Oryctolagus cuniculus: one gene and its partners. The protein of the gene in region 3 interacts with the protein of the main gene of each other region in a biochemical or structural test. Links are inferred from orthologs where the notes say so. Each region holds a gene or a part of one and is shown on either strand. Other genes may lie near its edges.

Region 1 (4,080 bases), on a different chromosome or scaffold from region 3:
CATCGTTTTAAAAAGGAAGACAAAAGCTCCACTTCATCAAATTTAATACAGAAAAGATATTCACAATAGAATTAGGCAGTATAAAATAAATCTAAGATTTTAATAAATGCTCTCATTATTGAATACTGCATGTTAAATTTATTTCTGACAATAACCTCAAAAGAATAAAATTAAAACTTTGCTTGGGGTCGGCACTGTGGCGCAGCAGGTTAAAGCCCTGGCCCGCAGCATCAGCATCCATATGGGTGCCAGGTTGAGTCCCAGGTGCTCCACTTCTGATCCAGCTCTCTGCTGTGGCCTGGGAAAGCAGTAGAAGATGGCCCAAGTCCTTGGGGCACTGCACCCATGTGGGAGACTTGGAAGAGGCTCCTGGCTCCTGGCTTCAGATCAGCTTAGCTCTGGCCATTGTGGTCATCTGGGGAGTGAACCAGCAGATGGAAGACCTCTCTCTCTCTCTCTGGCTCTACCTCTCTCTGTAACTCTGTCTTTCAAATAAAGTAAATCTTTAAAAAAAAAAAAAAAAACTTTCTTAGTTCATTCACACTTATACTTCTGACCCATCACTAAACAAGGTAACTTGCTCATGTTGTTACTATAGGTTTTTTTTTTTTTTTCAAAAACCATTAGCATAATTCCATTTAGTAAGCCAACCACAGGTCCAAAAATTATTCAGGTATCAACTTAGTAGATAGTCTTTCCTCAGTATCTATGAACAGTTATTGAAGAGAACAGTGTAAGAAATTAAATCCTAGATGGGGGGTGGTAAATTTCATACTTCACAAGAAAATTTCAACTTATTACATGTAAATCGAATTTGAACAAACCAGATCATACTTTAAAAGGACTATAAGAAAGCTTAGGAAACAAAAGAAACTTTGCAATTAATTTTAAAATGTAAATAATTTTGCAATATCAGATTTTGTTTTTCCTAACAATAAAAACCCTGCCATTATCAACTTGGTCACTAAACAAGACAGCATTTTACAAAGCATTAGCATTATAAATGTCAACTTTCACTTTCTGATGAATTTCTTCTTTCATCAAAAAGGACTATCTTATTGCACAGTTCAGAATATTTTACATGTTAAAATAAAAATGAACATGCTAAAAATGCTTCTAATATATCAAATTCTGTAACAAATTCTGCATCACATTTTGGTACTTTTTTTCAGATTATAAAGCAAACAAGGTAACAGAAATGTAAACGATACTCCAATTATGGAATTAAACTTCAAGTCAATTCACAAATAATCTTCAGGTATTCTCTATTTATCAAAAGCACAATTCAATAAATAAAATCTCACCCATACAACATGCCTAATAATGAGGGCTCCTCTGTATCTCAGATATGCTGCTCTATATATTCAGAATAACTTAATTACTACATAAAGGTCAGCTGAATCAACAAGCAATAATAATGACTAAGTTGTGGGCAGAAATGTGTCACTTGCTGTTATATAAAACCAACATTAGGTGAGAAAACATAAGTGCCTACTAATAAGCAAAAGGTCAAAAGAACTTCAGATATTATCTAGTTCAACAATTCTCAGCCCTGGTTGTACATCAAAGTCACTCTGGGACTGAAATATGTGTAGAAACGCCAACCTAATAACCGCAGAAGTGCGCCATTCCTCCACAAAAGGCCTCGGTGACCCTGACATGCAGTCAGGAACGAGAATTACTAATTGCTTATAGTATTACCAATTGCTTATAGTATTACCAATTGCTTATAACATTGACAATCCCGAAGGTTGGCATGAACCATTCAGATCAGTTCTCTCTGTCAAATCCTCCGATATTTTCAGAGCACAGGGAAAATGAGTGCCATGTGTTTCAACTGACTTTTCGGTAAGTGCATTTTTGGAGCATTATACATGGTAGCATCCCAACCTTCCAGCATAGGGCCATTCAGGCACCCCAGAGTTAAGATTCAACTGTACTGCCATTGGAGACTTCTCAACCATGTCGACAGGCTGTACGGCTAAGCGGGAAAGGCGCAGCTCACCAGTAACAGACGTCTAATCACAGAAGCTGCGCCGTAGTGGACGCCGCAGGCGTTAAAGTCGCACACCATGTTAACCGAAACCTGGGTTTCCTTCCTGCAAAACGAGAGCTAGCATCCACCTCATGAGTAGATGCCAACCAGCTAAAACCCCTAACACAGTACCTGGAGGCTATAATGGCTCAATTCTACAAAACCAAGCGAGTTAACGCCTCCTAGGCTCAACTAAGATAGAGGGGCTACAGAAAGAGCGGTCCGGGCCACTCCCACAGGCCCACAGCTCCCTCTCACAAACGTCCCCGCTGTGCATGCTGGCATCTGCAGGATTAGACCCGGCAACTTCGGGCCCGGGGATCCAGGTCGCGGACGGAGGGACGCCAAGACCTGCCTGCCAGGCACACAGGGACGCCGCGGCCGCGCCTGGGCCCCAGGGATGCCGCCCAAGTCTCCCGGATGAGCCGGAGGACGGCCGAAGCGGGGAGCGCAGTCCGCAGAGTCCCTCACCTTCACCACGGCCGTCCCCCGGCTGCCTTGCCGGCCACTGTCCGGCCCAGCTCCAGGCTTGTTTACCACCAGAGCAGCCATCCCGGGCAGAGCAGCGGCGCAGGAGCAGCCCTCGGAGCCTTCACCTGGGAGGCGGGGTCGAGCCACCTACCCAGAGGCCTCCGCGCACGCCGCTGGCGCACAGGCCCAGTACGACGCGGCCCCGCCTCCCGTCAGCGGCTCCGCCTCCCGTCAGCCTCGGCTGGGTTGGAGGCACAGTCCTGCTCGTGTTGTTTTTGTTCCTAAGAAGCCTGCAACTGCTGAAAGAAAAAAGTCAAAGGAAAAAAATGGATAACACATAATTAAAGTTTAAAGGTGAAATTCCCGGCCCGGTTATGAGTTCGGCTCTCTAATGGCAAACTAGCCAAGGCGGATACTACATCTCCCTTCATGCAACGCGACTTTTGCTTGCACTACAAATCCCGGCATGCCACGTTCTCGCCCTTTTTTTAATCTCTAAGAGGCCGCGTATCGTTACAGTGGTTGCTTCCAGTCGCAATGTGTGATCGTAGACGGAAAACGCCGTATTTTCTGTGCAGATCTCCAAGAGCCAAAGGATGGCTTTGGTGAAAAGAAGCCGTTGGGTCCGTAAAGGACGCAGTGAAAGGAGAATTTAAGGTACAAAGAAGCTGTTGGGAGGACGTTTGACGCCTGTTCTGCCCGACGTACGCTTTTTTTCCCTTCCGGGCCAAGTTGAACCTCTTCAGCCCCCGTAGGCCTGGAGTCAGACGTGCCGGTCAAAATGGAAGTGAATCCCCCCAAACAGGAGCACCTGCTGGCGCTGAAAGGTAAATGTGTGCCGAGGTACCGTTGTTCTGTCTTATTCCCTTCTCTCGCAGTTTCCCGAAGGCCGTTGCCACACAGACGCGACCTCTGTGACAGGGGCCAGGCCTCAAAACACTCGGTGCCCGCCGCCCCGCGCTGCGTCCGGCGCGAGCAGGAGGAGGCGACTTGGCCTCTTCGCGTTTCGCTTTCAGAGCTGCTTTCTGGAACGAAACAGACACCTGGTCGTTCTCCCTGACCTGTGCTGCTGCAGTCACCAGATGTTTGGATGCAGAGCCGAGGCCGCGCCCCTACTGGGGAGACCTCTGCGAACCGGGGTGCATTAAAGCAAACATCCGAAATGGCTTTTCCTTCCGTCTCTCGTCTCTTAGTGGGCACTGGGAAGTTACCAGGTTTCAGGTTTATCTGGGGTGTTAGCACTGCGTAGCAACTGTGCGAAGGATTTAGCAATACATAGCCCTGCCACGCGTAACGTAGATTTGTTAAAATGTACGGCTGACCGTCACCGCATTGGGTTCCTAATCTTAACCGCAGATCGCAAATATTTGAGTCAGATTATGTCTGTGCTGAAGGTGTGCAAGCTTTTCCTCCTATCAGTATTTTCTGAACCGGTATAACCACAGTGTACTGCAAAGTACCTGCCGCCCACGTGGGAGACGCGGCGAAGTCCGGCGTCCTGGCCTCAGCTCTGGTCCAGCCCTACCTGTTAGGGACATTTGGGGAATAAAGTAGCAGATGGAGGCGCTCTTCCT
Region 2 (3,500 bases), on a different chromosome or scaffold from region 3:
CCGAGATCCTAGACCAGGAGAGAGAAGAGGACTTTTTCATGGCATTCCACACGCTGCCGCGGAGGAGCAGCCCGCACCCCTGCGCCCCGCACGGCACCGCGCCCGGTGGCGGCGGCCTGCAGGACAGCGTGGGCGCTCTCAAGCGCAGCTCGTCCATGTTCATCCCTCAGCTGCTCACCGGCCTCGACGCCCGGCCCACGCGCAGCTCGTCCGTGCAGATCTCCCTGCAGCGCAAGGCCGCCGATGGGGCCACCGACGGGTGCGGGCCGCCCGAGGGCCCCGAAGGCCACAGCGAGGACGGGGACCAGGCCGCGGCCGCCAGGGCCCTGGCCCCGAGTGGAGCCCCGGAGCCCGCCCAGAGGGACGTGTCTGGGGGCTCCCCACCGGGAGCCGCCCGGGACCCAGGCCCGCTGGTCAACGGCACTTGCGGCCGCCTAGTGCGGGGCCCCGGCCGCGGCGAGGGCTCGGAGGAATCCGTGCCCGGCCTGCGCATCCAGCACCGCGCATCCAGCGCGGACGTGCGCCAGGTGCGGCTGCTGCCCCTGGGCCCCGATGGCGCCGCCGAGCCCAGGCGCTGGTCCTTGCAGCACGTCCCGGATGCTGCTGGGAGCTCCGGGAAGCGCTGCTTCGTGTTCCAGCTGCAGCAGCCCCCAGTGGGCAGCCCGGGGCTGGGCGGCGACTTCAACTTCGGCTTCACGGGCACGAAGGGCGACAGGCTGGTGCGCTATCCCCGCATCCGGCTGGAGAGGAGCACCTCGTACCCTACGCAGCCGCGGGCCGGGCGAGGGAGCCCCACGGAAGACCGGGCCGCACCGGAGGCACCGCCGCGGGCCGGCAGGATGGCCCCGGAGATCCGCAGGACGAACTCGGCCGAGAGGGCTGCACAGGGCCAGGGTTGCATGTTTAAGATCAGGCAGGAGCCAAACGTTGGGCAGCAGCATTTCCGGATTCTGGTCACCCGGGAGCCCGAGGAGGCGCCGGCCACTGCCACGGAGGACCCCGCTGAAAGCCCTGGTCCCGCCGGGGCCGTGGTAAGTGCGCGGCCAGGGCTCGAGTTCTGGCAGGCCGGGACCATGACATTCGGCCCAGTGTGCGGGAGAGGCCCGCAAGGCTAGTGAGCGGTCCAGAAAGTGGCCTGTCTCTAGGCCCTCAGAGTTGGAGAAACCTGTTTTGGAAATTCAAGCAAAGCATACTATTTTTTTTTCTTCCCTCTCGCTTCTGTATAGAATAATTTTGAAAATTTATTACTTGAAATTAATCTGCCAAAAAAACAGGTCGGTGGCCCGGCATGTCTCGGTGCGGCCTGGCACAGCCCTCTGGGGTAAGGAGCAGGCGGCGCCGCAGAGGGCTCGAGGCGGAAGGCGGGTCTCCCTTGCAGCGCCTGGTGGGAAGGGGGCGGCCCTGGGGTCCTTCATCGCCTTGGGTTTTGTCCTGTGAGCACTGAGCAGGAGCAGGGTGGGCCAGGAGGAGATGGCGTTGTTGAAGCAGACAGGCTCCTGGGCCGAGGCTGGGGGTCCCTAGGGGGACCTCGCCGCCTTCCAAGCTGGGAGGGCCCCTGCTCCGGCTGTGGCCATGTCCACCCTGGAGCGGCTGTGGCCTGTGGGTGACATGGAGCAGAGAGAGAGTTGCCGGCCTGCTGGCGAGGGTGACGCTGCGGCTTTTCCTGCTGGGAGCGGGATGCGGGCGCAGTCCTCGGCTAGTGGCTGCTGGCTCGCAGGCGCTGCCCGGAAGAACCAGCTCCCTGCGTTTCAAATTGGATTCCTCCCTCCCCACCACCACCGAATTTCATGTGATTGCGAGTTTGAGGATGTGATTATGAAATGCCTGGGGGATTTTTTGGTTTGGGTTTCACTTGCGAGTTATCTTCAGAGTGAGTGGTTGAGTATTAACTAGAATTGTGTTGCCTTTTGTTCGGAAATATTTCTGTCATTCAAGTGAGCTTTATCCCTGTTCTATCACTGGTTCTCACTGTTTGGAAGGTGCCGTCCAAAGCTAGGTACAAATGTATTTCTCTTTTTTTTTTTTTTTTCTTCCCTCTTCCATTAGGATTTTATAATCTTAAGCTTACTTATTCGGAAATAGCTTCATCCTTTGTCTTGGTCCAGATCCATGCCGGTTTTTACACAGTGGTACAGATTTCTGTGGCGATTAGGTATAAGAGTGGCTTTCAGACCCCCCACCCCCACCCGGGGGGTGACCGTCGGGACAGTTGGAAGCTGTTATTTGGCAGCACAGGTCCTTCCATGCTGAACTTGACCACCGACCCTTGAAGATGGTCAGAAGCCACTCCTGAGGGTTCCCCAAGGGTTCAGTTGTGTTACAGAAGCATAGACCACGTTGCACCTCGCTCGTCAGGTGCAGGGATTGTTCGCAATCCAAGTCTCATTTGGCTCGAAATTTCTAATACCACTGGAAAATAGAAGAAGCTGAAAATCGTGTGTCTGTTATAAGGCCGGTGCCAGTTTGCAGTCCCCGTGGTGGAACACAGAGTCCGGCAATTAGGAGACGTAAATTCTGGACTACAGAGCTTTCCTAGTAAATGGTTGTTCTCATGTTTACACTTACATAAATCGTTTCACGGTCGGGACGTTGGTTTGCTTTTGAGCAAATGCGTTTTCCTTTAAAAAACAAAAACAGAGCCCGTGGCCCCGCAGACCCGCGCGCTCCATTCAGCAGCACTGCGAGCGTTTCCTGTGGACGGGGAGCTGAGCGCAGGCAGCAGCTGCCGCGGCCGGCCGCATTTATCTTGAAGGCAAACATTCGCTTGGGCGTCTACAGTCTGGCTGCCACCGGGGCGCTTTGGCGTTTCAGATATCTGCCGCTTCAGTCAGGAGGGCGTTGCGTGATGAGGTTTACATGAGAAATGAACTGAAGTCGATTACAGCCTGGTTTTGGGATCGTGGGGAAGATCCTTCTCAACTGGAGAATCCGAGGCAGGGTTCCCGTTTCTAAGCGGGCCTCAGCCCTTCCCGCGAGGTCAGGCTCACAAACAGGCCGCAGTGGCTGAATCTGAAATGCACCATGACTCCAAAAATGTTAGCCAGCCTGATTCGTAGGAAAAAATACAGCAGGGAACTCCTGATGATGATAGATTCTTTTCATCCTGTCACCATTAGTTAATAAAGTCGGTTCTTATACTCTTCGAGTTATCATCAGTTTAAATGCTTCAGGGGTCTTAGGTCTTACCAGTTCAGTCTGTGGTCTGATTTAGCAGTCATTTAGTGACTGCCTGAATTGTTTGATTCGGTTAGTTTTTGGTTGATTTGGTTCGGTTTGGTTTCGTTGTGAGCCCCTTGACTACTCTGGGCTTGGAGAAAATTGGGTCAGCATTGCCCAGCTTCGTGGGCCCCGTGAATGCCACCTTGTGCGTGATGACTGCTGAAGTGCACCTGGCACAAGCCGAAGAGCCGGCTTGCCCATCCCATCCGTGTCGTGGGCCGTTTCAGATCTGTGTCGATAGCACCACCCCGGCGACTTGGAAGGTTTAGGGACTGTCTGTT
Region 3 (3,572 bases):
AGTCAGACCAGGAGAGATATTCTATCTGCTGGTTCACGTTCCAGATGCCCACAGCATTCAGCGTTGGGTGAGGCCAAAGTCAAGAGCCTTGAACTCAGTCTGGGACCAACTCCTTGAGCCATCACCAGTGCTTCCTAAGGTGTGCATTAACAGGTTTCTGGAATTGAAAGTGGAGCTGTAACTCCAAACCAGACACTCTGATATGAACACAGGTGTCTGAAGTGGGGACTTAACCATTGAGTTTAATAATACTTTTAATCTTCTACCTGAAGTAGATTTTTTTCAGTTATTCTTCCAGTGAGTATCTGTGGTTGGTAAATTTTCTCTTTGTCTGAAAATATCTTAATTTCTTTTTTTTTTTTTCAATAGCATTTTATTCATTCATGTTAAGTCACCTGAAATGATCTGTTTTAAATGCTCATTAATGTAAATGGCTGAACAAATCCATTTCAATGGATACTCAATATCCCACATAGTTAAGTCACTTCAACACAGCCTCATGACAACTCCCACACCAAAACAGTACTTTATTTTGTAAATTTTGACCCATTATTACTCCCAAGTTATGTTTTTATCAGCTGTCAAGTGTACAAGGTGAAGATAAGTTTTAGTTAGATGGGGCTACACCTGGAAAATAAATTTCTTAAAACTCCATATACACGCTTCAAAACTGCTGGGTCCCAAGTCCATCTATGAACTCCAGGGCTGCCAGTATCACGGTGCAGCATATTAAAGCTACACTATCTGAATAGCTTATTAATTCTGCATAAATCAGGTCAAGCAATGTGTCAACCTGTAACAGACTGTGCACTCTAACTGAACATGGCAAAATATTCATTCTTTTGAACTTTACATCATCATTTGATGTCAAACAATGAAGCAAATCCCAACAGTATATACAAAAAACAGCTTTGCATTTACAAAAGATTGTTTCCTATACTGATTAATCCAGGCAGCTAACTCATTGGTTTATGCAACTTTATTGAAGAAAAATAAATCAATTACTAGCAGAGCTATTAGTTGATCACTCATCCATTGACAACTTGCATCATTTATTCAGTGCTATATTAAACAGTGTATTGGAAGATAGATTAACTAATAGCTCCAAGCCTCCTAACAATTTAAATGAAAATTACAAAATGTTTGAGACCCTATTTTGGAATACAAAGGGTGTTTGACTTTCAATTTCCATTCTCTGTAGAACAAGAACAGGTCATTCCTTTATTGACATGCATAAAATACATCACATTTTCTGTTCTGCTGATGCTATAAATTCAATACCAATTCTCCAGCCACATCAGTTATGAGCATAAAGTATATCATGTAACCTCAAATCTCTAACAGTGGAAGGCTTAAACAAGAATGGATGCTGCTAGAATAATGCTGCTTCCTTTGATGTGACAACTGAGCATCCATCTCCCTCCCTCTCAGATGATTTCTTCAGCATGTTAGAGCAGTGAGGAATGGTTTTAGTCTCATAACCAAGTTAGAGTGAAGACATTGGCCACATAATACACATGCTCCATTTTTTTAAAAAATTCTGAATCTTGGGCAACTGTTCTCTTGTAACTACTTTACAGTTTCTAAAAGCAGTTATTGTCCAAAGCTGGAAGAACTTAAGTCTTCTCAGATGAGCATGTGAATGAATGGAGGGAGGTAAACAAAAAATAAAATTAAAAAAGATGAGGTCTGATAGGGGAGCAGCCGGATAAGAAAATCAAAAAAGGAACAGTAATTTAAAGTTTATTCCAGCTATAATGCAGGTTATTCTGACTTTAAGGTAGCATCACATGGCATACTTCTGAGTCCATTCCCGAGATATTCTGTTGTACTTATCTCTGTCTGTTTTATAGATCCGTGCAATCTCTGGCACTAGGGGGTCATCTGGGTTTGGATCACATAGCAGTGAACAAATGGATAAAAGAACTTTAGAAATAGTTAAAGCAGGAGACCACTGTGATCTTAGAATATCGAGACAAATGCTGCCATTACTGTTAATATTTGGATGATAAATTCTTGTTGTAAATGCAACCTTAGGTGGTTTGAAGGGGTAGTCTGTAGGAAAATGAATTGTCAAAAAGAATACACCGCCTTGATATGGGCTGTCATTAGGTCCCATAATTGTGGCTTGCCAGTGAAACATATCATCCCCAACTGGACCTGCAGAACATTGTGCTGGAGGGTCACGGGCCAAATCACTAAGTTCCTTATTAATCCGTTTCAGCGCCATAGTCTGTGCTTTTAGTCTGGCTCCTCTCTCCCTCTCTCGGTGTATGCTCAGAGGTCCGGCCAAAACTCTTGATTATCCGGGCGGCGGGGAAGGATTGTCTCTTGGTCTCACGCCGGCTCTGCCAGACACAGGCGCTTGGTATGGAGGCGGCGGGTATCGCGAGAACGACGTGGACGGCTCGAAAATATCTTAATTTCATCTTCACTCTTGAATATTGGTTAAAAATGCTGTGGAGTTTTAGTTTGATAGGAATTTTATATTGAGTAAATTTCTCCAAATATTTAGCTTATCATACTACTGAATCGGTATGCTTTCTAATTGATCTTTGTCTTCCTACCTTCTGAGTCTCTTTTCATGACAATTTGTTTTTAACAGCAGTTAACTTCACAAAGGGCTCCATTGTGAGAAAGCAAAGGAAGATGGATAAATTCAGTTTCTACCTTCTCTTGCTGCAGTCATATTTCTTTCTTCTACATTCATTGTTTTCCTTTCCTGCCTGGAAGTTGGGTGCCTGTGGCAGACTTGAGATCTATATCACAACCTTATTCATTCCCTGAAAATTTGGCCAAGAATGGTGTGAGGTGGAAGCAAATAGAGCATTTCAGCTGTGAGAGAAAAATTATTGGCGTAAGGAAACAAATGTAATGAGCCAGAAACTGGATCAAGCTATACCAGCATGAGAAATAGTCACAACATCTAATGTGACCCGCAGAGATAAACAAGATTTGACAAAGGCATTTTGTATGCACCAATCAGTCTTTCAGCTTATTCAGGAATTAGGGCCTGAAATATAGAGATCTTAGAACACTCAGAATCCTTGACCAGACATAAATAATGAGTGCCCATTTACAGTGGAAGAAAATTAGTTCTATAAAACTGAGAGACTTGCCAATATTAGCTGCCAAATTAACAATATTGAGGAGCTCGATTCAGTCATTGCCAGTCTCTCCACCAGGACCAAACATCCTGACTTTTTCAGCACATGAGGGGTTATCAAAGCATTACCAAGATGTTGGCACTAAGAACCAGCCTCCTGTTAGATGCATTAACTCATACAAGTAACAAAGGAGGATTCCTTAGCCATCCTCTTCCATTTAGTTTTCCCTGAAGCAACGAAAATTCTAAAAGACAGATGAATGAGCTCTAATAGCACATTTTGTTTAGATTTATTTTCATTTCAATTCTTACATGCACCAACTACAAATCATCTCCTGCATAGGTGGTGAAATTGCTTGATTATAAGCCAGAAAGAACCAGCTTGCTGTAAGATATTTTGAAGTCCTATGACGTATCATCACCCTTCTAACAGGGATTACAATAATAGCTGGTACTTACTGAATCC
Region 4 (3,500 bases), on a different chromosome or scaffold from region 3:
CTGAGCTGGGGGAAAACAATTATTTCTCATACCTTGTGGGTGTGGAGGATTTTTAGGGAGGGTGGGTAGACTTGACAACTTCCCCATCCATCATAGGTCCTTACACCTTTAGCATCTGTGACACCTCCAACTTCTCCGATTACATCCGTGGAGGCATTGTCAGCCAGGTCAAAGTACCTAAGAAGATAAGCTTTGTGAGTGTGTTGGAGAGGGCAGTGGGCTTGGGGGCGGGGGGTGGGGGGGCTGGCTTGAGGCGTTTCCCCCTCTTCTGTTCCTCTCTTCTGGTTCCCATGCCCTGTCTCTCTCCAACAGAAATCCTTGTCAGCCTCGCTGGCAGAGCCTGACTTTGTGATGACGGACTTCGCCAAGTTTTCTCGCCCCGCTCAGCTTCACATTGGCTTCCAGGCCTTGCACAAGTTCTGTGCACAGCACAGCCGGCCACCTAGACCCCGGAACGAGGTGGGACGGTGGGTGGGGGAACCACGCCTCTACCTGTTTGCTCTTTTTCCTCCCATGGTGGCCTGACAGAGCCTCTCTCTTTTTTTTTTCTTTTGTTCCCCTGGCCCACCAGGAGGATGCAGCAGAGCTGGTGACCCTAGCACGCGCTGTGAACTCTAAAGCCTCGTCGGCAGTGCAGCAAGATAGCCTGGATGAGGACCTCATCCGGAACCTGGCCTTTGTGGCAGCCGGGGACCTGGCGCCCATCAATGCCTTCATTGGGGGCCTGGCTGCCCAGGAAGTCATGAAGGTCAGTGGGAGTGGAGAATTAGGGTCCACCACTTGGCCGTCCACCTGTGTCAGGCCCCAGTTAATCGCTGGCCACCTCCTGTCTCCTTCCCCATCCCCAGGCCTGCTCTGGAAAGTTTATGCCCATCATGCAGTGGCTGTACTTTGATGCCCTTGAGTGTCTCCCGGAGGACAAAGAATCCCTCACAGAGGACAAGTGCCTCCCGGTAAGTGAGTAGGGCCTGTGGGGAAGGCATCATTGGGGACGTTTCTGAAGAGGGCCCTCTCTCAACCTCCTCCCTTCATGCTCCTCAGCGCCAGAACCGTTATGATGGGCAGGTGGCTGTGTTTGGCTCAGACCTGCAAGAGAAGCTGGGCAGGCAGAAGTACTTCCTGGTGAGTGATCCCATTGGACACCTGCTACCTTCACCTCCCCTGGCTTCAGGCCCTATCTCTTCCAAGGCCACCTCCTGCATCCTGAGGGAAGAGGGAGGGTCTTTTGTTTCTTGTACTCATATCACATCTCTTCAAGGAAAGTTGTGTGTCCTTGTCTGCCTATCTGGTGCCTCCTTCCTCAAATGACTAGGTTTGGGGACCTGAAGATGTACTACTAGACCTTCTTCCTCTCTCCTGCTGGCTCGGGGGGACTAAGGAGTGATGGGTGGTTTTGCACTAACCTTCATCACCCTGATCAGCCTCTCTGTCTTCTTGGCTGCCTCTTAGGTGGGTGCAGGGGCTATTGGCTGTGAGCTGCTCAAGAACTTTGCCATGATTGGGCTGGGCTGTGGTGAGAACGGAGAAATAATTGTCACAGACATGGACACCATTGAGAAATCTAATCTGAACCGACAGTTTCTATTCCGGCCCTGGGATGTCACGGTGAGTACAATGGGGTCCAAGGTGTTCTTTCATCCCTCTGTCCCTCACTTTCTCTTGTCATTCATTCGAGAAACCTCCACCCTGTTTTCTTTGATCTCTTATCAGTGCTGGTTGTGACTGTGTTGAGGGCCTCTAAAACTACTCCAGGCTTGATGATTCACTGGGAGAACTCACAGGACTCGGCGTGTATACAAGCTGTGGTGGTTTTTTTTTTTTTTTAATGATTTATTTATTTATTTGAAAGGCAAAGTTACAGAGAGGCAGAGACAGAGAGGTCTTCCATCTGCTGGTTTACTGCCCAAATGGCCAAAGCCAGGAGTTTCTTCCGGGTCTCCTACATGGGTGCAAGGCCCAAGTACTTGGGCCATCTTCTACTGCTTTCCCAGGCCACAGCAGAGAGTTGGATCAGAAGTGGAACAGCCGGGACTCAAACCGGTGTCCATATAAGGTGCCGGCACTGCAGGTGGCAACTTTACCCACTATGTCACAGCGCCAGTCCCAAGGCTGTGGGTTTTTGTTTTTGTTTTTGTTTTTTTTTTTTTAAGATATATTTACGGGGCCAGTGCTGTGGTGCAGTGGGTTAACGCCCTGGCCTGAAGAGCCGGCATCCCATGTGGGCGCTGGTTCGAGACTCGGCTGCTCCACTTCTGATCCAACTCTCTGATGTGGCCTGGGAAAGCAGTAGAAGATGGCCCAAGTGCTTGGGCCCTGCACCCATGTGGGAGACCCAGAAGAAGCTTTGGCTCTCAGCTTCGGATTGGCGCAGCTCCGGCCATTGCAGCCAATTGGGGAATCGGCAGATGGAAGACCTCTCTCGCTCTCGCTCTGCCTCTCTGCTCTCTGTGTAATTCTGCCTTTCAAGTAAGTATGAAAGGCAGAATTACACAGAGAGAGGGAGAGATAGATTTTCCATTCATTGGTTCACTCCCCAGATGACTGCAGTGGGACAGGCTGAAACCAGGAGCCAGCAACTCTACCCAGGTCTCCCACGTGGGCCATCTTCTGCTGTTTTCCCAGGTGCATTAGCAGGGAGCTGGATTGGAACTGGAGCAGCCAGGACTGTAACTAGTGTTTTTATGGGATGCCAGTGGCGTCACAGGTGCTGGCTTAACACACTGTGCCACAACATGGGCCCCAAGGCTGTAATTGATTATAGTGAAAGGATACAGACCCAAATCAGCAAAGGTTAGAGGCCCATGGAATGAAGTCAGGTTCTAGTTTGTAAGAGTTGTCTCCTAGTGGAGTTGCACAGGACATGCTTAGTTTCTCCATTCAGGGATTTGTGAGAAGCTTATTAGATACCTAGTACTCAGGGATTTTACTGGAGGCTGGTCCTATAGCAAAATTCCAGATTCCCGGAGGGAATGAACCACATTGTTTGGGGGCACAGTTGAGGCTCATTGGACCATCGTGACCTGGTAGAGAATCATGGGCACCTTGCAGACATCCAGGGTCCCAGACCGCAGCCAAGGACTAACCTTTCTAAGGACTGTGGTTTAAATCAGTTGGGTTCACAGATCTTGGCACAGGTGGAAACTGGGTTATACAGGGATCTCTGGGAGGCCTTCCACAGGACTGTCATTTTTGCTTGCCCAGAATCTAGTTCCCTTTTCATTCATTCACCAAATAGTTAGGTATAGGTGCTGCTCTAGGCCCTCGGGGTACACCAAGGAAGAAGTAGATATGTACAGTACATACAGTATCATAGTGAGGTCTGTGGTTAGGTGGTAATGAATGCTCTGCAAAGGAAAAAGGGAAAAGAAGGAAAGCTGGGTGTGCCAAGGAAGTTGGTTTGCAGTTTTGAGTACAGTGGTTAAGGAAGACCTCCTTTCTGCAAAGACTTAGATGTGAAGGACTAGAGCGCCCTCTTCTGGGGAAGAGTGCTGCAGGCCAAG
Region 5 (3,500 bases), on a different chromosome or scaffold from region 3:
TATGAAATACTAAACGCACTTTTGTTCCCTAAAGGGGAGAAAGGGAGTATTTTAAGTGGTGGCTGTTCTTACGGAGGCACAAGAAGCAGGCAGCGTGCAGGGGAGGGTGAGAAAGTATGGCTGTGTCTGGAGGCCACGCGGCTGAGCGCCGGCTGCATCACGCTGCCTGCCTGAGGTGGGGCGGGGCAGGACGGCAGCGGGGCAGGGCGGCAGCGCGCCCGGGCCTTACCAATCTTACAGCTAAAGCAGACACATTAAGAGTTTTCCGTTTGCCAGATATTCTTTTAATGAGAATTATAAAAGACCAAAAACATATTTTTTGCAAACTGTCTTTTTTAAACAAATGATTTACTTTAATTACAAACACTGTATGTGACGATGCCTTCTTTTTGCAAAACCAATAAATACAAGAACAAATTTTGAACATGTGATCATGTGATTTGTCTACAATATTTGGAAAAGAAAAAAAAAAGCCTGATTTTCAGTATTTATATGAATCAGAATGCATTCCCTAACTTGTATATAGGACTCAAATGGAGACGAAGTAGTGAGTGCGAAAAGGAGAGAGAAGACCATCTCGTGGCTGCTTGGGTGGCTTCTGACGGGTTTCCCAATGTTCCCTTTCCTCTGGGAACGCCTGTCTTCACCAAGCAGCTGATGAAATGTGTCTGCTAAACTGACGAATGGGGAACGAGAACGTACCCCGAACACAAACTTCACCATAAACAGTTATCAGGGCAGGAAGACACTGACTTTAAAAGGTACCCAAAAAAGTGAGGAAAACCTGAATTACAGAAAAGAAAGTTTATTTAATGAAAAACTAGAATTAATAAAAATTAGCAAATATACACACACAAGGAAACACAGCAGCACTATGTATTGACTCACAAAGGGGAAAAAGCAGTGGTCCAAGACCACTCAGATGGCTTGTCAGTTAGGGAAACACACACACACACACACACACACACAGACACACGCAATAACAGAAGAAACAGAACAACAAAACAAAAACCAGTATTTTTCAACAATACAATCAATCTACAACAAACACAAAATTCAGAATTATTTTACAATGCTTCCTTTCTTAATACAAAAGATGCCCATCTTGGGTGTATATATATATATTTTTCAGTGGTTTACTGTTGACTTATTTTTAAATATATTAGTGTTACTACATGCAACTGTTTCCTGTATTTAACAGCCTTTCTTTTTATTTACCTTCATGTGTCTAGTTTCCACCTGCCCAAAGAGTTTCAGGTTGGCAGGCAGTCGGGTGCCTTGCTCTCTGTGAAACTGAATGCAACAGTTTTAAACACTGGCCAGAAAACTCTTGATTGCCATTTCAACACATGGAAATCGTTACATTGATGCCTAAGTTGCCATTTTCTGCGAAGAGCTGTGCGATGCTGGTGTCGAAGACTAGGCAGTCACTGTTCATGATGGCTGTCGCAATTCCCTCATGAATAGACCGAGGAGTCGCCTCCCAAGTCAATCGTCGCCTGTGCCCATTTAGCTCAAGTCGATAAGCAAAATTTTCAGCTTGCTTGCGTGTTCCTATCAGCTGTACAATTGCAAAGAACTGCTGGTGACCATCATATTTTTCCTGTTTCTCCAAGACTAACATGAAGTGAAAGCCGAAACAGGACTGCATCATCACCCAGTCAACAGCACCAGGAAGGTTAATGTCTGTAGCAAGGAAAACTATATCCTCTCCCTGAAGGGTTGTAATGGACTTGTGCTGATGCATCAGATGGGGCATTACAGCGTCCAGAGAGCCCTGCCATTTACAGGAAGCACCAGGGCACGGACAGGAGTACGGCCTAAACTCACACAGCTCTTCGTGGTCTGCTTTCTCTGTGTGTGGCAGAGTTATTTCACATCCAGACGAGGCATATTTACAAGGGAAAAGTACTGAATTGGCCACCTTCTCCATAGCCAAGTTGCGAATGGATCCCAGTGGGCCCCGGCAAGTTGGACAACATGTGAGCTTTGGGCGACAGTTGCTACAAACGAGATGGCCACTCTGACACTGAAGAATGGGTGGCAACACATAGTCAAAGCAGACCGGACACTCAAAAAGACTCGCCAAGTCATTGTTGGACGCGGTCGTGCCCGTCAGGGCAGGCACCCTCTGCGACGGCGGGCACTTCGAGGTACCAGTCGGTAATGCAGTAGCAGTCTGACGGCTCATTTCTGCAATAAAAAATAAATAAAAAGTAAAAGGAGGCAGGAGAAAAATTACAACTTTTTACTTACTATATCAGTAACTTTTACAAGCCAGAAATACTTTAAGCTTCATGCAAAATTTATTGTGAGCAAAAATAAAAAATAGAATTAAAAACAAAACATAAATGACACTAAATGTGCATTTTGATTATTAGCAGTTGTAAGTTATACACCATTTTCAAAATGTTCTAGAACATAATTAGACACCACCCCCCCTTTAAAAAACAGTGCTAAGAATTGTCTTTAATGGGAGTAAGAAATGCTGAAACAGAAAATGAGCCATAAGCAACCAGGAGACGCTGTGTGAGCAGCCTACATCCAATCAGAGCTGTTGTGACTGCCACTCCACCCCCTCTCTGATATTCCTCTATCTGTTTCTTTCTGATTCCGAGACAGCTGTGAACAGCTACATATGGGGAGAGTTACAGCAGGGCACTACAAAAATTTCATGGAAAATGTATTAAAAGGTAACATTATTTCAGTGCAAAAGATGTTGAAATCCTTGTATACAATGAATCTTCAAAATGCTCATGGAGGGGCCAGCAGTGCTGTGGCTTAGCAGGTGAAGCCGCCGCCTGCAATGCCAGCATCCCATATGGGCACTGGTTTGAGTCCTGGCTGCTCTTCTTCTATCCAGCTCTCTGCTATGGCGTGGGAAAGCAGTAGAAGATGGCAAAAGTCCTTGGGCCCCTGCATCCACGTGAGAGACCTGGAGGAGGCTCCTGTCTCCTGGCTTCAGATCAGCACAGCTCCGGCCATTGCAGCCAATTGCAGAGTGAACCAGCAGATGGTAGACCTCTCTCTGACTCTCCGTTTCTCTCTGCGCAACTCTTTCAAATAAATAAATCTTTAAAAAAAAAAAAATGCTCATGGAAATGTGTTGAGAAAAAAACTACACAGATTTCAAAAAACGTGTGCCAATATATACTTATCTTTTAATTTCATTTTCCAGGAACATTTTTTAAGTACCCTTGTGTAGTTCAAATGCCATGGGATCATCTGCACTGACATTAACTCTTTCTAACGGTGAATAGTATCTGCTCTGGAGGTTTATTTTGGGGACAGAAGAAGGGGGCCAAGGAGAAACACCTGCTACCATCCTATTAACTAAGTCTTCTCCCAAACCATTATCCACTAGGTTATCAGCGCCCACCTCAAGAATGAGGGGGAAAAAATGGAAGATCATCCTCAAAAGTTTTGATTCTGCAGTCCAGAGAAAAGTACGTCATTCTGTTCTTCCATTCCACAATACAGATCAGATATAATGCACAAAG
Region 6 (3,500 bases), on a different chromosome or scaffold from region 3:
AAAGCTGTGGCCTGCAGTGCCAGCATCCCATTAGGGGTGCCAGTCCAAGTCTTGGCTGCTCCACTTTGGATCCAGCCCCCTGCTACAGGCCTGGGAAAAACAGCAGAGGATGACCCAACTGCTTGTGTCACTGCTACCCTATGGGAGACCTGCAGAAGGCTCCTGGCTCATGGCTTCGGCCTCACCCAGACCCAGCTGTTGTAGCCATCTGGGGAGTTAACCAAGTGCCTGGACTATCTCTCTCTCTCCCTTTCTCTGTAACTCTTTCAAATAAGTAAATAAATCTTGAAAAAAAAATATATAGGTGAGCTGAGTACTGACAGAATACAAAGGCAACATACAAAACTATCTGCACATCATCCTCTTTGTATTATGTTTTAATGCAAAAGAAATATATGTGTGTGTGTGTGTGTACATTATAGAAGGCACAAAAATTCTGGAAGAAGAATTTATTTCTGTACTTCCAAGAAAATGTTAATCCTAAGTATATTTTGCTTCAGTAATAACAGAGAGTGCCAGCATTCCATATAGGAGCCGGTAAGTATCCTGACTGCTCCACTTCTGATCAAGCTCTCTGTTAATAGCTGGGAAAGCAGTGGAAGATGGCCCAAGTGCTTGAGCTGCTGCACCCATGTGGGAGACCTGGAAGAAGCTCCTGGCTCCTGGCATCAGATTGGTCCAGCTCTGGCTGTTGCAGCCATTTGAGGAGTGAAGCAGTGGATAGAAGACTGCTCTCTGTCTCTCTGTAACTCTGCCTCTCAAATAAATAAATCTTTAAAAATAAGTAAGTAAATAAATAACATATCTACTAGGTTCCACAAGTTCAACGGAAAGCCATAATACTGAACGTTACACATTTCAATAATATTCTAGAAGTTTCATGGAATAATTTCTTACCTTTTTATATTTATGGGGATATGTACATCTTTCAATTGTCCCCTGGGATGCTCCACGATTGACATTTCCTAATCTTTCTTCCAAATGAATCAGTTCCTGAAAGGGAAGGGTAACTACGATTAAAAGCCAGGACGATAATATTTTAAACAATGTTGTCAATACTGTACAGGAGTAATAATCTTACATTTGACAAGGTAACAGTTTGTTTACACAACAGTTCTTATATATGGTATAGCAAATGATGGTTTCAAAATTTTTTGCTCAGCCACCTGAAGTAGTTTCACAAAGTCATCCTTATAAATTTGGGTAACAATATAAGTATTACCACATGGTATTACAAAATCAGTAAGTTTGTACACATGTAGAAGAAATCATTCATTCTAGCAAATTAGGGAAGCAAATTAAACAATTTTCATAAATCATATCAACTGTAATTTCTAAACTAACATGAAGAAACAAGGACTTGAAATATTTAGCTACAAAGTAAATTATTTAAGCTATTTTTGTCTCCAGCAATGTTTCACTAAAAATTAAGCTCAGGCAAAGGCAAAGGTTTGGGGCTGGCTTTGTGGTGCAGCAGGTTGAGCCGCTGCCTACAATACTGGCACACTGTATGGGACCCAGTTCCAATGCTGGCTACTCCATGTCTGATGCACCTTCCTGCTAATATGCCTAGGAATGCAGTGGAAGTTGGCCCAAGTGCTTGAGCCCCTGCACCCATGTGGGAGCTCCTCGCTTTGGTCTGGTGCAGCCTTAGCCCTTGTGGTCATTTGGGGAGTGAACCACAGGATGGAAGATCTGTCTCTCTCTTTGTAATTCTGCAGATTTATTTATTTGAAAACACTCATGGGATGCTGGCACTGTAAGCAGAAGCTTTACCCAATATACCACAATGCCTGTCCCGAAATAAATAAATCATTAAAACCAGAAAAAAAAAAGCATCAAGGTTTTCCCCATACATTAAATTATATTGTTCACTATTTTTATACTGATTTAATATATCTTTATATTTAGATATTTTAATTTATTCTTTAAATACTTTTTAACCTAAGATTAATGTTTCCTATCAAATTTTCTATAACCCCAGAAGCAATATCAGAAAATGGTACATTTTACTGCTTCATGATTCCCAGTCATTGTATTAGTCCTACGTAATTATGAATACTAGCAACATATCTATATATATATTCTTCTGCACTGAAAATACTGTGATACATATCTTCACTTATTACATACCTCAAAATTGCCCCTGAAAGGACCTCTGAATGATGTTCCATCCAATCCTGATGAAATGTAACGGATATGAGGATAGCCTGCCATGTCAGGAACCTGTTTTAATAAAAAAAAAAAAAAAAAAAAGACAGACTAAATCAGTTAAGAACAGATGTGTAACTGACTATTAACACTGAATAATTCAAGATATTCATTGCTCTCCAAGTACTCAAAAATTCAATCAACCTTAGTAAATACACATAAGTACAACTAAGCATTCAGTAGTGGGGCTGGCACTGGTGTAGCAGGTAAAGCCACCACCTGCAGTGCCAGCATCCCATATGGGTACCAGTTCTAGTCCCAGGTGCTCCACTTCCAATCCAGCTCTCTGCTATGGCCTGGGAAGCAGTGGAAGATGAGGCAAGTCCTTGGGCCCCTGCACACGTGTGGGATACACAGAAGCTCCTGACTCCTGGCTTCAGACCAGCCCAGCTCCAGCTGTTGTGGCCATCTGGGGAGTGAACCAGTGGATGGAAGAGTGGATGGAAGACCCCTCTCCCTCTCTCTCTCCCCTCCCCTCTCTCCGTCCCTCCCTTCCTCCACCTCTATGTAACTCTGTCCCTCAAATAAATAAATCTCTAAAAAAAAAAACCTCTCATAACACTAACAATATGATCAGAATAGAAAAAAAAAACAGTTGTTTCATGAAATAAAGATTTCCTGATTTACATAAAGAATCCTATGTAGCAAACACTCTCACATAATCCTGATGCTCTTGGTACCTCAAACTTCAAGAGGAAAATTATATGACCTTATTATTATTTTTTTTTTTTGACAGGCAGAGTGGATAGTGAGAGAGAGACAGAGAGAAAGGTCTTCCTTTGCCGTTGGTTCACCCTCCAATGGCCGCCGCGGCTGGTGCACTACAGCCGGCGCACTGCGCTGATCCGACGGCAGGAGCCAGGTGCTTTTCCTGGTCTCCCATGGGGTGCAGAGTCCAAGCACTTGGGCCATCCTCCACTGCACTCCTGGGCCACAGCAGAGAGTGGGCCTGGAAGAGGGGCAACCGGGACAGAATCCGGTGCCCCGACCAGGACTAGAACCCGGTGTGCTGGCGCCGCTAGGTGGAGGATTAGCCTATTGAGCCACGGCACTGGCCCGTGATCTTATCAATAGATAAAAATGCACAGAATTTTCCAACAAAACTCAACCTCAAGATAATAGTCTTCGTGCCAGTGCTGCAGTTTAGAAAGCTAAGCCTCCACCTGCCGTGCAGACATGCCACATGGGCGCCAGTTCAAGTCCCAGCTGCTCATTTCCGACCAGCTCCCTGATAATGCAGCTGGGAAGGCAGAAGAAGATGGTCCAAGTGCTTGGGCCCCTGCACCCAC
Region 7 (3,500 bases), on a different chromosome or scaffold from region 3:
ATCTCATAGCTACTGAATGGCAGAGCTGGAGTTCAAACTCAGGTCTCTGACTCCAGAGCTGCCTCCTGGAGGACACTGAGCGCGTCAGGTGCAGATAACAGATTCTAGGCCTGGGTACCTAAGAGCATGACAACGATTAAAATAAGCAGCCCCCCACAATTGATTGGAAATAAATTATTGACTATCTGCTGTGTGTCAGGCATTGCCTGGGTTAGGAAGCTGAGATACTTAAAAGGGAGCTTGCAGTAGAACAGGGAAACTGGGGCAATATACACCATCCTATGAGAAAAGAAAATGTAGCAAGAAGAGCTTTGTGGAGGTAAGAAAACTTGCAATTTGAATAGTGAGGGATGGCTACTGCTTCAGTATTTCCTTGTTAGAAAAGTACGAATTAATTTTGAGCACTCCACAATGAATGTTGTGAATGCTAAGGATGTTTTCACATATGAGGATTTTTCATTTGTAATTTCATGCTCAAGTGGATCAGCCTTCTTATCTTAAGGGTTTGGCATTTAACATTTAACAGCCAGAGGCTTTTAAAATGTCTTTTCTGGAAGTGGTTGAACTGAAACGATTACATGATCCCACTGTCTTTTTCTTTTTTTCATTATGGTCAGTATTTTCTGAATGCTCATTGAGTGTAAACCACAGATAACATTAAGGACTTTGTAGAGAGAACATAAGTAAGGTATGTCCCCTGTGTTCCCTGAATTTCCAGGCTTGGAGAGAAATGGCAAGCTGTCGTTTTGCCCCAAGCCAATATGCCATCTGAATTGAGCTCTTCCCCCGTGGTTTAGCAGGGATCTTGGCACCCAGCTTCTTGAGTTGGCCCAGCTTGTGAAGGGAGGAGAGGTTGTGCTTGGAAACATGGAAGTAACACTCAAATCTCAGAGTGGAAAGAGGCGTGGCTTTAGGTATTGGCAAAGCTCAGAGCTGAGACAAAAAGGAAAGGGAATGAAAGGCGATCATGTTACCTTTTTGTGAGTATTCACTGTGTGCTAAAGTTTTATAATTCTTTATCTCATGTCAGACTTCCAGTAGTGCTTCCACTGGTGGGATGAGGAGGTGGGCCTGACCAGTGCCAGGAAATAGGGGCGAGGCGTGGGCAGGAGTTGGGGAAGGGCACAGTGGCAAAGAGAAGCAAGTCAAGCACCCCATGTGATGCCCTTGAAGGCCATGCCTGCCTGGGGTGCTGCTTCCAGATCTCCATGTTTAATGCTTGAGTATACGCTGGGCATTTCTGCAAGCACATTGCTTCCAGGAATTCATCTCTTTTATTTATGTATTTTGCATTTTAAGGATTTATTTATTTATTTGAAAGTCAGAGTTACACAGAGAGAGGAAGCGACAGAGAGAGAGAGAAAGATCTTCCACCCACTGATTCACTCCCCAAATGGCTGCAACAGTTGGGGCTGAGCTGGGCTATAGTCAGGAGTCAGGAACTTATTCTGGGTCTCCCACGTGGGTACAGGAGCTCAAACACTTGGGCTATCCTCCTCTGCTTTCCCAGACACATTAGCAGGGAGCTGGATCAGAAGTGGAGCAGCCAGGTCTCTAACTGGCACCATAGGGGATGCCAGTGTCGCAGGTACCTTACCTTCTACGCCACAGCACCAGCCCCACAAATGCATCTCTCACCCACCTTGTTATGCAGTTGGTCTGCACAATTTGCTGGAATTATACCCAGGCATTTGCTTCGCTCCTGCCCTCAGCAGTCATCTTGTCCCACCTCGTGTTGTCTCCTGCCTCTGCAGGCTGGGATTTTAGCCTGGAGCAATACCCCACTCCAGGGAGTGTTTCAGATGCCCCATTGCTACACAGTCCGGGTGAGCAGGGGTCTACAGATGCTGGGTTGCTCTTTGCATTCTGATCTCGCATTCAACAAGCTACACACATTTGAAGAAAGAACAGGGAGTTGTTTGGATCTGACTGGCTGAGCTACTCAGGCTTTATAACTCTCATGGGCTTGAGTGGTGTCCTGTGTCAGGACCACAGCTTCATGCCATTGAGGCCCCTCTGTGTCACTGTCAGTCATCCTAAACACATTTCCAAGTAGGAAAGCTTTAGATAGGAATGAACCCCCAAATGCCCCAAAACACCCTTTTTCCAGCTGCATGGCTGCTAGTCCCAGAACTGTTAATGAAGCTGTGTGTCCTTGTGAGTGGTCTCTGAACAATCCCTTGTGTGGCGTGAACTGTGTAGGGAAGGAGGCAGCTCCATAGGTGTCTCATGGCCATGCTTCCCAAGCCTTTACAGCCCTCACTGGGTGGTACACGGTATGCCCTCTTCCCTTTACTATGTGATGATGCGTAAATGTGAGTGAAATAGAACTCTCTTAACTGTGCAGACTTGGTTCAGGCTCCACTCAGCCGTGTCTGTGATCTTGACTGAGAATCTGAGTCTCTTGGGCATTCTCTAGCTTGAACAGTCTTCTATATTTAGAATGGAGGGAGCAGAAATATTTAGGTTAATCCTTAAGTCACCACAGGATGAAAAGTTTTCAACTTATTTAGAGGATTAGTGAGGGTGCCCTTAAGGATGATCCTGGCATGCTTGGGAATTACCTCTTCTGTGGGAGTGTGACCTGCACTTGGCCAGAGCAGAGCTCAGCCAGCTGTCACTCGCTCAGCCTGTGGGCCAAGAGGCCAAGGATTCGTACCCTGTGGGCTGAGCGAGCCACGTGGGTTGTCTGTGACTGCGGGAGGAGCGCCTGCCAGGCAGTACCAGCTTGCCTGCCAGGCGCTCCTGTCGCCTGACTCAGACACTCTGTACTTTCACAAGCGAGAGCACACTGATGTCCAGAGGGCCTCCAGAGCTGTCTAAATATTTGTCTTGGACAAGGTTGTATGTATCACTGAATTCCCAGTACTCTGAGTGGGCCTTTCTCGAGTAGAGAAACCTGGCACCAGCTTCGTAATCTTCCCTGTGTTACTGCCCCCATTACAGATGTGGAAACGGTCAGAGAGGCTAAGTTACGCACTGTGAAAAAGTTGGGGCAAGAAGAGTTAATAAAAAGGCAGAGCTTTTCAGTTCTAAGGAATTAACACAGCTTTAGGTCCTGTGTCAATAAAATGAAGAAAGTAAGCCTTAAATGAGCTGAGTAGAGTAGCACCGTGTGCACAGGCACACAGGGAGTCTGTGTTTGACCTGCAGAGCAGTTCGCACCCTCACCTGCTCGCCTAGGAGACAGTCAAGAGTGACTAGAGGAGATCCGCGAAGCCTGGGAACCCCAAGCTCCCGTCCATTCCCTGTCCTGTTCTGTGTGTCTGACATGCTTTCCTCTGCCCTTTGCCCTAAACAGCAGACCTGCTTGGACTGTAAGAAAAGCTTCTGCCTGACCTGTTCAAGCCAAGTGGGGAACGGGCCCCGCCTCTGCCTCCTCTGCCAGCGGTTCCGGGCCACAGCCTTTCAGCGAGAAGAGCTCATGAAGATGAAGGTGAAGGAGCTGCGGGACTACCTGAGCCTCCACGACATCTCCACGGAGATGTGCCGTGAGAAAG

The links.
Region 1: the proteins of ubiquitin-conjugating enzyme E2 D3 (region 3) and TRIM23 form a complex in vitro, tested with the Homo sapiens proteins (4 studies listed by BioGRID). The link is inferred for Oryctolagus cuniculus from reciprocal best matches to the Homo sapiens genes UBE2D3 and TRIM23.
Region 2: the proteins of ubiquitin-conjugating enzyme E2 D3 (region 3) and NEDD4L form a complex in vitro, tested with the Homo sapiens proteins (7 studies listed by BioGRID). The link is inferred for Oryctolagus cuniculus from reciprocal best matches to the Homo sapiens genes UBE2D3 and NEDD4L.
Region 4: of the proteins of ubiquitin-conjugating enzyme E2 D3 (region 3) and UBA1, one has a biochemical effect on the other in vitro, tested with the Homo sapiens proteins (10 studies listed by BioGRID, with this or other methods). The link is inferred for Oryctolagus cuniculus from reciprocal best matches to the Homo sapiens genes UBE2D3 and UBA1.
Region 5: the proteins of ubiquitin-conjugating enzyme E2 D3 (region 3) and SIAH1 form a complex in vitro, tested with the Homo sapiens proteins (3 studies listed by BioGRID). The link is inferred for Oryctolagus cuniculus from reciprocal best matches to the Homo sapiens genes UBE2D3 and SIAH1.
Region 6: the proteins of ubiquitin-conjugating enzyme E2 D3 (region 3) and RNF111 form a complex in vitro, tested with the Homo sapiens proteins (3 studies listed by BioGRID). The link is inferred for Oryctolagus cuniculus from reciprocal best matches to the Homo sapiens genes UBE2D3 and RNF111.
Region 7: the proteins of ubiquitin-conjugating enzyme E2 D3 (region 3) and RFFL form a complex in vitro, tested with the Homo sapiens proteins (5 studies listed by BioGRID). The link is inferred for Oryctolagus cuniculus from reciprocal best matches to the Homo sapiens genes UBE2D3 and RFFL.

What each region holds. Positions count from the first base shown.
Region 1 is NC_091445.1:86,572,744-86,576,823, forward strand, and holds the start of TRIM23 (E3 ubiquitin-protein ligase TRIM23), read right to left. Parts: upstream 2,801-4,080; 5' UTR 2,588-2,800; coding exon 2,507-2,587; exon of another isoform or gene 2,075-2,506; coding exon of another isoform or gene 2,006-2,074; intron 1-2,005. Other genes in the region: TRAPPC13 (trafficking protein particle complex subunit 13), read left to right, coding at 3,288-3,333.
Region 2 is NC_091441.1:20,107,563-20,111,062, reverse strand, and holds part of NEDD4L (E3 ubiquitin-protein ligase NEDD4-like), read left to right. Parts: coding exon 1-1,031; intron 1,032-3,500. UniProt on the Homo sapiens protein: E3 ubiquitin-protein ligase that mediates the polyubiquitination of lysine and cysteine residues on target proteins and is thereby implicated in the regulation of various signaling pathways including autophagy, innate immunity or DNA repair.
Region 3 is NC_091438.1:28,033,138-28,036,709, forward strand, and holds ubiquitin-conjugating enzyme E2 D3, read right to left. Parts: upstream 2,404-3,572; 5' UTR 2,231-2,403; coding exon 1,787-2,230; 3' UTR 501-1,786; downstream 1-500. UniProt on the Homo sapiens protein: Accepts ubiquitin from the E1 complex and catalyzes its covalent attachment to other proteins. In vitro catalyzes 'Lys-11'-, as well as 'Lys-48'-linked polyubiquitination.
Region 4 is NC_091453.1:32,736,062-32,739,561, forward strand, and holds part of UBA1 (ubiquitin-like modifier-activating enzyme 1), read left to right. Parts: intron 1-96; coding exon 97-194; intron 195-312; coding exon 313-459; intron 460-571; coding exon 572-748; intron 749-848; coding exon 849-953; intron 954-1,041; coding exon 1,042-1,122; intron 1,123-1,449; coding exon 1,450-1,605; intron 1,606-3,500. UniProt on the Homo sapiens protein: Catalyzes the first step in ubiquitin conjugation to mark cellular proteins for degradation through the ubiquitin-proteasome system.
Region 5 is NC_091449.1:32,098,063-32,101,562, forward strand, and holds the end of SIAH1 (E3 ubiquitin-protein ligase SIAH1), read right to left. Parts: intron 2,194-3,500; coding exon 1,343-2,193; 3' UTR 262-1,342; downstream 1-261. UniProt on the Homo sapiens protein: E3 ubiquitin-protein ligase that mediates ubiquitination and subsequent proteasomal degradation of target proteins.
Region 6 is NC_091443.1:81,954,437-81,957,936, reverse strand, and holds part of RNF111 (E3 ubiquitin-protein ligase Arkadia), read right to left. Parts: intron 2,227-3,500; coding exon 2,134-2,226; intron 994-2,133; coding exon 898-993; intron 1-897. UniProt on the Homo sapiens protein: E3 ubiquitin-protein ligase. Required for mesoderm patterning during embryonic development. Acts as an enhancer of the transcriptional responses of the SMAD2/SMAD3 effectors, which are activated downstream of BMP.
Region 7 is NC_091448.1:39,258,572-39,262,071, forward strand, and holds part of RFFL (E3 ubiquitin-protein ligase rififylin), read left to right. Parts: intron 1-3,301; coding exon 3,302-3,500.